3 linked regions of the Xenopus tropicalis genome follow. The protein of the gene in region 1 purifies or fractionates together with the protein of each later gene. This does not show direct contact. Links are inferred from orthologs where the notes say so. Each region holds a gene or a part of one and is shown on either strand. Other genes may lie near its edges.

Region 1 (3,031 bases):
AGCCAGCAGGAACGTGACTGGGTCTTAAATGGTAGGCAAGCTGTGCACATTATTGCTAAGCTGGCAATTATAGGTTCTTTGCATTTCCTAAAACTGTGTTCCATCCTTGCAGAGTTCAAACACGGTAAATCGCCTATCCTGATTGCCACAGACGTTGCTTCCAGAGGTCTAGGTTAGTACGTTCAATCTGTTTTTGCTCGGTGAAAGCCAATGAACGGACGACTGTTGTGAAATGTCATTGTTTTAAAGAAAGTGATTTGCTTTCTTTAACCTCTGCAATTCTCTTGAGTTTTGTTTTTCACAAAGGTGCGGTCTTTGTGGCAAGGCCTAGGCATGACATTCGGAGGACGCAAGGGGATGGAGGACTAGTGGAAATTGGCTGTCTGCTTCCAGTTGTGTAGAGAAGTGGAAAGCTGAGCATCGTGTGCCAGTATCTTCAAAAGGCAAAATTTAACTTGTACCCCCTCCCCCATTACCAAAACTGCAATCCCATAAAGACATCCCACATTTGTTGCATGCTTCTAGCTCTGATACTTGCAACGCATTCTGCCACTTACCCCCCAGGGTTGCGTTGAGGGGTTGACTTGTTGGAGACGCACATTGGCAGTAATATAATGGGAGCAGCTCATTTAGTTGGAAGCCTTTTGTTAGACAAATTGGTGAGTACTGGCACATGAATGGGTGTAAAGCAAAGGGAGAGGAAGCAGAACTCCTCTAGCCTTAGGTTTCACGATCCTCCCTCACCTGTATCGTAGTGGTCATGTCGAGACCTGCCAGAGGGGACAAATTCTCAAGTGAATCCTGGTTTCTCGCAAGCGCTTGCCTAGACGACACGCAGCACACAGCAATAAACTCTGGCTCCCAAATGCCTGTATTCATAGGGGCGGGTGTTCCCAGGATGTGTGCGCTTGTCGCTCAACTTGTAAGGTCTTGGCAAGACAAAAGCAGTGGGTGGCCAGATTTCTGAGCTTCTAATGAATGTGTGAGGTGGACCACTTCCAGTTTTCTTGAAGGTCCTCGAACTGAGCACATGAGGAGGCTGCTGTTGGCGCCAGTGGCTGTACTGCTGACAAGCAATCAGAGGTCACTTGACTATTAATAATGGGAGACTTTGGGCAGTGCAAACTACTGGTAAGGTGTGTGTGTTTGGGGGTGGAGTTATTGGGCACATTGCTTCTCTAGAGCGGGCAGCCTAACTTTTGTTTTTCAGCCTTGATTCCTCTCTGCAAATCCCCTATTTGGCTAACTTGTGTTTTTGGTCTGACCCTTGTGGTGTGCAAAACCTTATTTGCCCTCCCTGTTTTGCCACACTGCGACACTCTACAGATGTGGAAGATGTGAAATTTGTCATCAATTATGACTACCCGAACTCCTCAGAGGATTATATCCACCGAATTGGAAGAACTGCCCGCAGCAGCAAAACTGGCACCGCATACACTTTCTTTACCCCAGGAAATATTAAGCAAGTTAATGACCTGATCTCCGTCCTCCGAGAAGCAAACCAAGCCATCAACCCCAAGCTGCTGCAGCTGGTGGAGGACAGAGGTAAGAGCCCACTCCCAGTTGGCTTTGTAGAATGGGGGGTGCAGGCTGACTGGATCACATGTAGGTGGAGGCAGCAGATTCTGCCTGAGTTTTACTGAACTGTAGAACTTAGTAAGTGGGCCAGTACCCATCGCAGGAAGGTAGTAAGGTGGGGCTGCTGGATGTTACACCCTAAAGCGTCAATTCCTTTTCCTATTTGCAGGACGCTTCAGAGGCAGAGGAGGCATGAACGACCGACGTGACCGTTTCTCTTCAGGCAAGCGGGGTGGGTGGGACCGGGAAAACTATGACCGTGGGTTTGGCGGCAAGAGAGACTTTGGCAACAAATCCCAAAATGGCTTCGGCAACAAATCCCAAAATGGCTTTGGGGCACAGAATTACAATGGAAACTCCTTTAACAGCTACGGCACCAATGTTCAGAGTGGGTTCCGGGCAGGAGCACAGAACGGCACATACCAGAATGGCTACGCCAGCCAGCAGAATGGCTACAGTGCACCTCCAATGCAGAACAGCATGGCCCAACAGGCATACACATACCCAGCTGCCACTGCTACAGCACCAGCTGTCATGGGTTACCCCATGCCGACGTCCTACCCCCAATAAGCTGTTAAAGCACAGTCTGTTTTTATTTTCTGTACTTGCTCTTTGTATCGTTTCCATGCAGGATAGTTATTTAATCCCAGCGGATTCTCGGAGGGAGCTGCAGCAGTGCCTGTGGTGCACTTTCACTATTTAAGTTGACTGTATCTACATTCCTGAGGCAATTTTAGTTGTTTTTTTTTTTTTTGTAATAGAACAAAGCCAGTGTTTCCAGAGTTTACGTGATTTGGAGTACTGTAATGGGGGCAGCGCATGGCCTTCAATAAAGATCTTTAACTTGGTTATCTCACTTGTCTTGCTCTTCAGTGCCCTCCGGGGGGGGGGGGGCGGTGTGGGGGTACGTAATGCCTGGGCCCCATCACATTTATATTGCTGTTATAGAGAATCTAACCTGGCCACAGACCTCTCAGCATAACTGGCTCCTTAGTGCTTGTGTAAGTCATAGGGCTCCCTTGGAACAGGATTCTTCTGCAGCTAAATGGAGACCATTGGAAAAGTAACCTACATCCTGATTGGTTACCAGCCCACTAGAAAAAGCACCTACTTGGGGTACTGGGGAGGGGGGGGTTAGCCCCCCCACTTTATGTCCCCTACAAGCCAGTTCATTCCAGAGCTGCAGTGTTTAAGACTCGGGGGCAGGCAGGCTCAGGGATAGGGTGCTGTAGGGGCATATACAGGTGCTTTATTCTTGGCTTCAGGTAAAGGGGGTTTGGGACTAATCTACAGACAGAACTCTGCCCATTCATTGGCTGAGAGGGCCTAGCATGTTTGTGTGCACTGTGAATCACGTGATCCCAAGGGGTGGCCCTTAATTCTTAATGGCATTTTCCTATTTAGGATTAAGCACATACTAATAAACATTTTTATAAATTATACTATTTAGATG
Region 2 (4,259 bases), on another chromosome or scaffold:
TACACAGGGCTTGTGTGTTTATGACATAGCTTGATGAACATATACTGCAAAATATATGAAATATACTATATGGATGTCATAATCAAAACATCGACATCTTTAAAATTTTCTACTAAAAGAAATAAATCAGTGCCTCTTATCAAAGATTGGTATTGCTTTCCTCCAATGGAGTCCCAAACAAATGCAATACTATTGTAGTTTTAAATTATGTTGCCAACTTGTGGTTGCCCATTTGTATCCTATATCTATATTGCGCTTGAATTTTTCTTTATCTGCTCGGTGTCATGAAAACATGGCCCAAGTTTGTAAACACACACAAAAGCAAACCAACGAAGACCCTGTAATAAAGTAACATTTCACCCATCATCTTTTAAATCAGCCCTTTTTTAATCCCTAAATTATGGAAAAAGTTCCCCTAATTTGCATAAAAAACATTGGCAATGGGAGCCTCTGATGCCAAGAAACACACAAAAAAAAATTCTCTGGTTGTTTAATCCTGATACCAGGTTAATAAAAAAAAAAAAAAAAGCCTAAAAATGAAATTATTTTGGTTAGTTTCACATATCTTTATCCTAAATTAGACCTTTTTGTACCTAAATTGCAAAAACTGCAGCCCATTTCCACAGAACCCTTTGATGCCATAGTAATAAAAAAATAATATTCAGTTTTTAGGCTCATCACATGGTCCCTTTTGTGCAAAACAATATGTAAAACGATCAAATATTATTTTTAACTGGTTTACCCACTGGTGGTGCAAAAAGCACTGGGGTCATTGGATAACAGAATTAAAAAATATCTTTAGGCTATTTTGGTCAGTTTCACCCATTTCCTTTCCCTATAATTCCCCTTTTTGTGTCCCTAAAACTCTTCGTGTTGTAGTATTGTTGGCAAATAGGAAAAAGTCTCGTGTTTATTGGCCCAAGTATGAGATTTAAGCAGAGATAAAAATGAATTGCACTGCTGGCAAATATTTGCAAGGGAGGGCTTTGGTAGCGTAGCTTCCAAAATTCTGGCGGCGGCATAAATTCTTACAATCACTAATTGTTTTTGTTTCTCAGAAAACAAAGTAGGAACTGTGAGCACAAAACAACAATTGGCAGCATATACATGCGAGTGACCTGCCGCGCACAAAGTACCACGTCTTAACAGCAGCACTTATGAGGAAAAAGATGTTGTACCCCACTATCCCTTACTATGCAGTTCCTTGCTCGCCAGTCCACAAGCGGTAGCGTCAAGCGTCCCTGCGCTTATATACTCCGTAGTCATGACGTCACTGCCTGATCTCGCGAGATTGTGACAAAGGTTAAGGAAAGCGGGCCGGCAAAAGGTAAGGAACTGAGTTTTTAAAAGGCTCTCCGGGACTGTGAGCTGTATGGTGGAAATTGAGTCTGTCCCACGCAAAGCATAACTGGGGAGGTATAAATGGTCTTTATTTGTAAAATCACTGGAATCTAAAACGGGGACGGTCTGGTTATATGCTCGGTGAGTTATAGCTTTTGTGACAACACTTTATAGACGTGGGTGAAAGCTTGCTTGCATACAGTGTTTAGGATATCGCCAGTAAAAATATATATGAATTGAGATACTATGGGGAGCACGGTAAATCATAGGATTATGCTAATCTGGTAAATAATAACTAGATCCTGGTGGGTACAACAACAGCACCCCTGTAGAGCATAGGGTGCAGCCAATACACACCCATTACACAATACTAGTAGGAACATACAAAGGCATAGAATCTAGCCTGATATTCACGAACTGCTATTAAAGAACATAATGCCTAACCAGTATATTAGGCCATAACTCCCAAAATAATATACAGATGTCTAGGAAAAATATTATGCATTCTAGCTTTACCCTAGCTCTAAACCCAATGTCCCAAAATAAAGTTCATAAAACTCAAACATCAACTTTCAGGCAAAACAACTTTATGTAGCCTTAGTCAGAATTGAATCCAGGACCTTAGCATTATCAAGGTAAGAACCACTATACCATTGTGTACCTTAGTGATATACAGTGGTGTGAAAAACTATTTGCCCCCTTCCTGATTTCTTATTCTTTTGCATGTTTGTCACACAAAATGTTTCTGATCATCAAACACATTTAACTATTAGTCAAAGATAACACAAGTAAACACAAAATGCAGTTTTTAAATGAGGGTTTTTATTATTTAGGGAGAAAAAAAATCCAAACCTACATGGCCCTGTGTGAAAAAGTAATTGCCCCCTGAACCTAATAACTGGTTGGGCCACCCTTAGCAGCAATAACTGCAATCAAGCGTTTGCGATAACTTGCAACGAGTCTTTTACAGCGCTCTGGAGGAATTTTGGCCCACTCATCTTTGCAGAATTGTTGTAATTCAGCTTTATTTGAGGGTTTTCAAGCATGAACCGCCTTTTTTAGGTCATGCCACAACATCTCAATAGGATTCAGGTCAGGACTTTGACTAGGCCACTCCAAAGTCTTCATTTTGTTTTTCTTCAGCCATTCAGAGGTGGATTTGCTGGTGTGTTTTGGGTCATTGTCCTGCTGCAGCACCCAAGATCGCTTCAGCTTGAGTTGACGAACAGATGGCCGGACATTCTCCTTCAGGATTTTTTGGTAGACAGTAGAATTCATGGTTCCATCTATCACAGCAAGCCTTCCAGGTCCTGAAGCAGCAAAACAACCCCAGATCATCACACTACCACCACCATATTTTACTGTTGGTATGATGTTCTTTTTCTGAAATGCTGTGTTACTTTTACGCTAGATGTAACGGGACACGCACCTTCCAAAAAGTTCAACTTTTGTCTCGTCGGTCCACAAGGTATTTTCCCAAAAGTCTTGGCAATCATTGAGATGTTTTTTAGCAAAATTGAGACGAGCCTTAATGTTCTTTTTGCTTAAAAGTGGTTTGCTCCTTGGAAATCTGCCATGCAGGCCGTTTTTGCCCAGTCTCTTTCTTATGGTGGAGTCGTGAACACTGACCTTAATTGAGGCAAGTGAGGCCTGCAGTTCTTTAGATGTTGTCCTGGGGTCTTTTGTGGCCTCTCGGATGAGTTGTCTCTGCGCTCTTGGGGTAATTTTGGTCGGCCGGCCACTCCTCGGAAGGTTCACCACTGTTCCATGTTTTTGCCATTTGTGGATAATGGCTCTCACTGTGGTTCGCTGGAGTCCCAAAGCTTTAGAAATGGCTTTAAAACCTTTACCAGACTGATAGATCTCAATTACTTTTGTTCTCATTTGTTCCTGAATTTCTTTGGATCTTGGCATGATGTCTAGCTTTTGAGGTGCTTTTGGTTTACTTCTCTATGTCAGGTAGCTCCTATTTAAGTGATTTCTTGATTGAAACAGGTGTGGCAGTAATCAGGTCTGGGTGTGACTACAGAAAAAAACCTCAGGTGTGATAAACCACAGTTAAGTTATTTTTTAACAAGGGGGGCAATCACTTTTTCACACAGGGCCATGTAGATTTGGAGTTTTTTTTCCTCCCTTAATAACGTAAACCTTCATTTAAAAACTGCATTTTGTGTTCAATTATTTTATCTTTGACTAATAGTTAACGGTTTTTGATGAGCATAAACATTTAAGTGTGACAAACATGCAAAAGAATAAGAAATCAGGAAGGGGGCAAATAGTTTTTCACACCACTGTATGCTGTGTATGAATAGTTTACATAACCTGGTATATGAAGTACACTAGTTCCTAGGGACCTTTAGCCTAGAGCTGGGCGATATGACCAAAAATTTATATCACGGTATTTTTCAAAATTATATCGGTGTCACAGTATTTGACGGTATTTTTTTTTCCATGCATGCTTAGGTGTTAACCCCATTTCCTAATAAATTAGAGGATAATTACTGCAGTATTGAAAATCAGAGTCAGGCAAGCGAAGGATCGGCAACAGAAAGTCATAAGGTAAATCAGGCAGGCTTAGTTTCCCAGGCAAGGCCGCAGACAACATAGCACAGGAGGAGGCGTTTGATAGCTTTAAATACCCCCAACGCATGCGCAGAACTGGCGCCGTCGGTGCATCGCGGATGTGCACGCTTTGACGCGCGCGAGACCGGGCCGCATGGGTGAGTACCCTGACACCCCGGTATTGCGGTATCTGAAAAATGAATATAGTTTAAAAAAAAAAAAAACACCGGTATTCGGTATTAAACGGTATATCGCCCAGCCCTACTTTAGCCCCAGTGATCACATGACAGTGACATCAAAACTTCCTTTGGCCACTAGCATCCACCTTGCCTAAAGCTGGTCCTACACATAAGGAT
Region 3 (4,376 bases), on another chromosome or scaffold:
CCCGTTTGAGCACTGGAGACCAAAACTGAACAGCATATTCTAGATGGGGCCTTACCAGTGCTCTGTAAAGGGGAAGAATAACCCCCTCCTCCCGTGAATCTATACCCCTTTTAATACAGCTCAGAACCTTGTTTGCCCTTGCAGCTGCTGCCTGGCATTGCTTGCTACAGCCAAGTTTATTATCTACAAGGACTCCAAGATCCTTCTCCATTATGGATTTGCCTAGTGCAGTCCCATTAAGGTTATACGGGGCTTGCATATTTTTACATCCCAGGTGCATGACCTTACATTTATCCACATTAAATCTCATCTGCCACTTAGCTGCCCAGATTGCCAGTTGGTCAAGATCCTGCTGCAGGGATGTCACATCCTGGATAGAATTGACTGGTCTGCAGAGTTTTGTGTCATCTGCAAACACTGATACATTACTCATAATACCCTCCCCTAAGTCATTTATGAACAAATTAAACAAAAGTGGACCCAGTACAGAACCCTGAGGGACCCCACTGAGAACCTTACTCCAAGTAGAGAATGTGCCATTAACAACCACCCTCTGTACCCGATCCTGTAGCCAGTTTTCTATCCATGTGCAAACGACTTCACTAAGACCAATAGACCTTAGCTTAGAAAGCAGTCGTTATGATATTATCGTGACTATTACGATTTTTTCGTAAGCATATTCGTGACATTTCCGATCGTCAGAAATGATCGCATCTGATCCGAATTTTACCCATTTTGGGATTCAAACTTGTACTTTGATGAATCTGCCCCATAGGACTGCCAAATGGTATTTCACCAGTGGAGCCAGTAATATAGCAGCCCAGGCTGGCACAGCAGTGTATTTGCCAGTAAAATTATAATTTCCACCCCAGTCATTCTGCCCCTGGCTAGCCACAATTTCCCTTTAACCCCTGACTACTAGCCCAATCCGCTCTCTGTAATAACGCAAGTTTTAAAGTATAGCTCAGCCCTTCCTGGTCCTATCACGCCCCCTTTTTTTATCCAGACCTTTTACCCTGCTGGCTTCTACTCCTTGGTAGACGCTGACAACACTAAACACCCGCACTTTTTTTTTTTTAATTGGATTGAGGGTTTTTTGCATATTTACAACAAACACATATGCACACGTGTCATGCTATGTACTTCGTTCTTTATTGTTCTTCACTGATAGCATTTTTTACGTGAAATTGCACAACGATTCAAGCGGAATTAAAAAAAAACTCATGTTTTCTTATTTAGTTTTACTAAACAAAAGTTCCTTTAGTCTGTTGTAAAAAATAGGCGCACATTAACTCAAAAGTCCAACTACAACATGGCTACATCCGCCCAGGCGCCCCTCGAGGAAAAGGCGTAGCCAAAACGAAAGTGGGAGTGATATTTTCTCGTCCAAACAACTTACGCGCTTTTGGCGTTTGTAAGCGCACACTGGTGACGTTTTGGGGGTCGCACCATAAGCGCGTGGTTTCACCGGCGTACCATGGAGAGAAAAGGTGAGGGAGTAATAAGGGGTTCTATGATTATAGACGGATCATGTAATATAAAACTAAGACAGACTGACTTACAAGCCATGTATTACTAGTGAGTGGTTGCGGTTTTAAATGTATGCGAATAGCAAGTGTAAAGCTGTGAACGTTTCTTTATATTATCTTGCAATTCTTATTGAGAATAATACCATTTGTATGGAAGTGTTTTGCAATTCCTTTTAGCATATCAAGACTTTGTTTTATTACTGTACTTGATAACTTAAAGGAACAGTTCAGTGTAAAAATGAAACTGGGTAAAAGACTGCACAAAAGAAAAAAATATTTGTAATATAGTTAGGCAAAAGCAGATGTCTTAACATAATAGCCAGAATTCTACTTCCTGCTTTCAACCCTCTAACCTCTTAGTTAGTGAGTGACTTTAGGGTGGGCCACATGGGACATAACTGTTTAGTTAGTTTGTGAGCACACAGGACAGATTAAATACAAACCTTACATTTATCAACATTAAAAATCCCCAGGCTTAGTGGCAGATGATATTCAGTTTTTCTAGATCTTGCTGCAAGGATGGATACATCTTGGAAAAATTAATTTACCTGCATAGTTTTGCATGAAATGCAAGAACTAAGTCACTAATAAATAAAAGTGCACTCAATACAAAACCCTGCAGGACCACACTAAGAACAATACTCCAAGCTGTTTTTCAAAACGCATCAGTTAATACAGCTTCTGCAGCAGAAGCCTTGAAATCCATTTTTCAAAACACAATTTTTTTTTTATATTTCAATTTGAAATTTCCCATGGGGCTATAGCCATATTCTTTATTTCCCAGGGTGCCAAAGCCATGTGCCTGTGATCTGATAAACTTTAGTCACACTTTACTGCTGAGCTGCAAGTTGGAGTGATATCACCCCCTTCCCAGCAGCCAATCAGCAGAACAATGGGAAGTTAGCAAGATAGCAGCTCCCAGTAGATATCAGAATACCACTCAATAGTAAGAAATCCAAGTCCGGCTTGCTACTTCTCCAGTTACATGGGAGGGTTTTTCCTACCTATCAGTTCTAATGTGTAGCACTGGCTCTTTCTGAAAACTCAGGCACAATGCACTGTGAAATATTAGCTTTGTAAACTGTGTTTACAGACAATGGTTTTCAGAAGTATTCTCAAACTTGTGCAGTCATTTTCAGTACATAATCCTGTATGTTTTTAATGCAGTGCTGCCCGAAGATATAATATTGGCTTCTGGCCTTGTCCTTGCACACACAGATTTCTCTAATAATATTATGCACTGTAGGTAATGATATCTTTGCAGTTTTACATATTATTCTTAATTTGTTGCAATATTTGCCCAAGCAGTGATTTGTGGAGTGGTGTATCTCTCCTATCTTTATTTTCAAAGGCCCACCCTCTCTGGGATGCTCTTTTTATCTTTACATAACTTTACTAGACTTTAGTTGCTCCTGTCCCAATTTGTTTTTAAGGGCCGTGGCAAATCTCCGTTGTCGCAGGCGACTTATCTCCCAAATATGACATCCCACCGGCGAGAATGTAAATAGCTGGTGAGATGGCATACACGGTGCGGCAATTTACCGAAATCGCAGAAGTTGCTGTGAGAGGCGATTTCGGCACCGCGTATGCCATCCCACCGGCAACATACATTCTAGCCGGTGGGATGGCATTATGGGGAGATTAGTTGCGCGCCGACTAATCTACCCGTCTCTCATGGCCCTTAAGCATTGCTGGCATCATATTAGAATTGAGCATATATTTGATAAGTTTATTTAGTGCTATTTGCAATTACATTTAGGGTTTAAATGATCTGTAACTCATTCCATTCTTTTTCATTTTTTTAATATTTTTTTAGGGTTATGTCCAAATTTATGTACTGAAGTAAATTTAGATTGTTAATTTTAGCTATCCTAAATTGTATAGTCTTTGTTGACCCAGTGTATATTTGCTTTTTGCAGCAAATAAATGAGATAATATAGTCACTTTTGCTCCAGGAGTTGTAATACTTGCAATGCCGGCTCCCCTACACATCCAGAGAATTCAGCCAGCAGGAAGTGGGAGAGATGGGTGTGGCTAGTAGGGTTTGGGGGGGAATTTCTCAATAAATCAGTCCGAAGTACAACCTTTTTAATCACAATCCTTCTATATTTAAAGGAGTATAACGCAGTGGTACATTTTTAAATTTTTTTTTTTTGTAATTTAAATTTTAGAAATTTATAGAAAGAAAAAAGGCAAACAACATCGACAATATACAGAATAGCTATTTTTCATCTTAAATGAAGTGTGGGCTTATTACATAGTGAATTTGTATGCATTCACTTTTTCTTCTTTTGTGATTGTTACTCTTTTCTGTTGAGCTCTGTTTAAACAGTCAGAGTTTGTATGTTAGATCAGGGGTAGGGAACCTATGGCTCGGTAGCCAGATGTAGCTCTTTTGATGGCTGCATCTGGCTTGCTGCCAAATCTTTAATAAAAAAATTAACGGGGACGTGGCCTGCGCTTGGCGGATAGAAGACGTGTTCTAAGCCTTAGAACACGTCTTCTATCCGCCGTGCGCAGGCCACGCCCTCCTCCGCATCCCATCCACATCCGGTATCCTTGGGACCCACCCTACCTTGCCCTGCAGCATCCGCGGCCAAACATATTGTATGGCTCTCACGGAATTACATTTTAAAATATGTGGTGTTTATGGCTCTCTCAGCCAAAAAGGTTCCCGACCCCTGTGTTAGATAGAGTAAAGGTGGAAAGATAGGGTTGGTAGAGGAAAGGAAGACACAGAGGGATGGGGTAAGGTTGGGGTTTACCGGTTTCCAGATTGTTTCTGACATTTTTAATTTTAACATGTCTCCTTTAACAAACTGACTTCCCAAAACAAAGTGAAGTATT

The links. The genes of interacting proteins can lie anywhere in the genome.
Region 2: the proteins of ddx5 (region 1) and drosha purify together in Homo sapiens (co-immunoprecipitation; 4 studies listed by BioGRID and IntAct, with this or other methods). This does not show direct contact. The link is inferred for Xenopus tropicalis from reciprocal best matches to the Homo sapiens genes DDX5 and DROSHA.
Region 3: the proteins of ddx5 (region 1) and srpk1 purify together in Homo sapiens (affinity purification with mass spectrometry; 3 studies listed by BioGRID and IntAct, with this or other methods). This does not show direct contact. The link is inferred for Xenopus tropicalis from reciprocal best matches to the Homo sapiens genes DDX5 and SRPK1.

The regions. Positions count from the first base shown.
Region 1 is NC_030686.2:51,540,394-51,543,424, forward strand, and holds the end of ddx5 (probable ATP-dependent RNA helicase DDX5), read left to right. Parts: coding exon 1-31; intron 32-112; coding exon 113-172; intron 173-1,326; coding exon 1,327-1,545; intron 1,546-1,747; coding exon 1,748-2,148; 3' UTR 2,149-2,429; downstream 2,430-3,031. UniProt on the Homo sapiens protein: Involved in the alternative regulation of pre-mRNA splicing; its RNA helicase activity is necessary for increasing tau exon 10 inclusion and occurs in a RBM4-dependent manner. Binds to the tau pre-mRNA in the stem-loop region downstream of exon 10.
Region 2 is NC_030682.2:84,246,798-84,251,056, reverse strand, and holds the start of drosha (ribonuclease 3), read left to right. Parts: upstream 1-1,338; 5' UTR 1,339-1,482; intron 1,483-4,259. UniProt on the Homo sapiens protein: Ribonuclease III double-stranded (ds) RNA-specific endoribonuclease that is involved in the initial step of microRNA (miRNA) biogenesis.
Region 3 is NC_030678.2:69,859,351-69,863,726, reverse strand, and holds the start of srpk1 (SRSF protein kinase 1), read left to right. Parts: upstream 1-1,455; 5' UTR 1,456-1,477; coding exon 1,478-1,490; intron 1,491-4,376. UniProt on the Homo sapiens protein: Serine/arginine-rich protein-specific kinase which specifically phosphorylates its substrates at serine residues located in regions rich in arginine/serine dipeptides, known as RS domains and is involved in the phosphorylation of SR splicing factors and the regulation of splicing.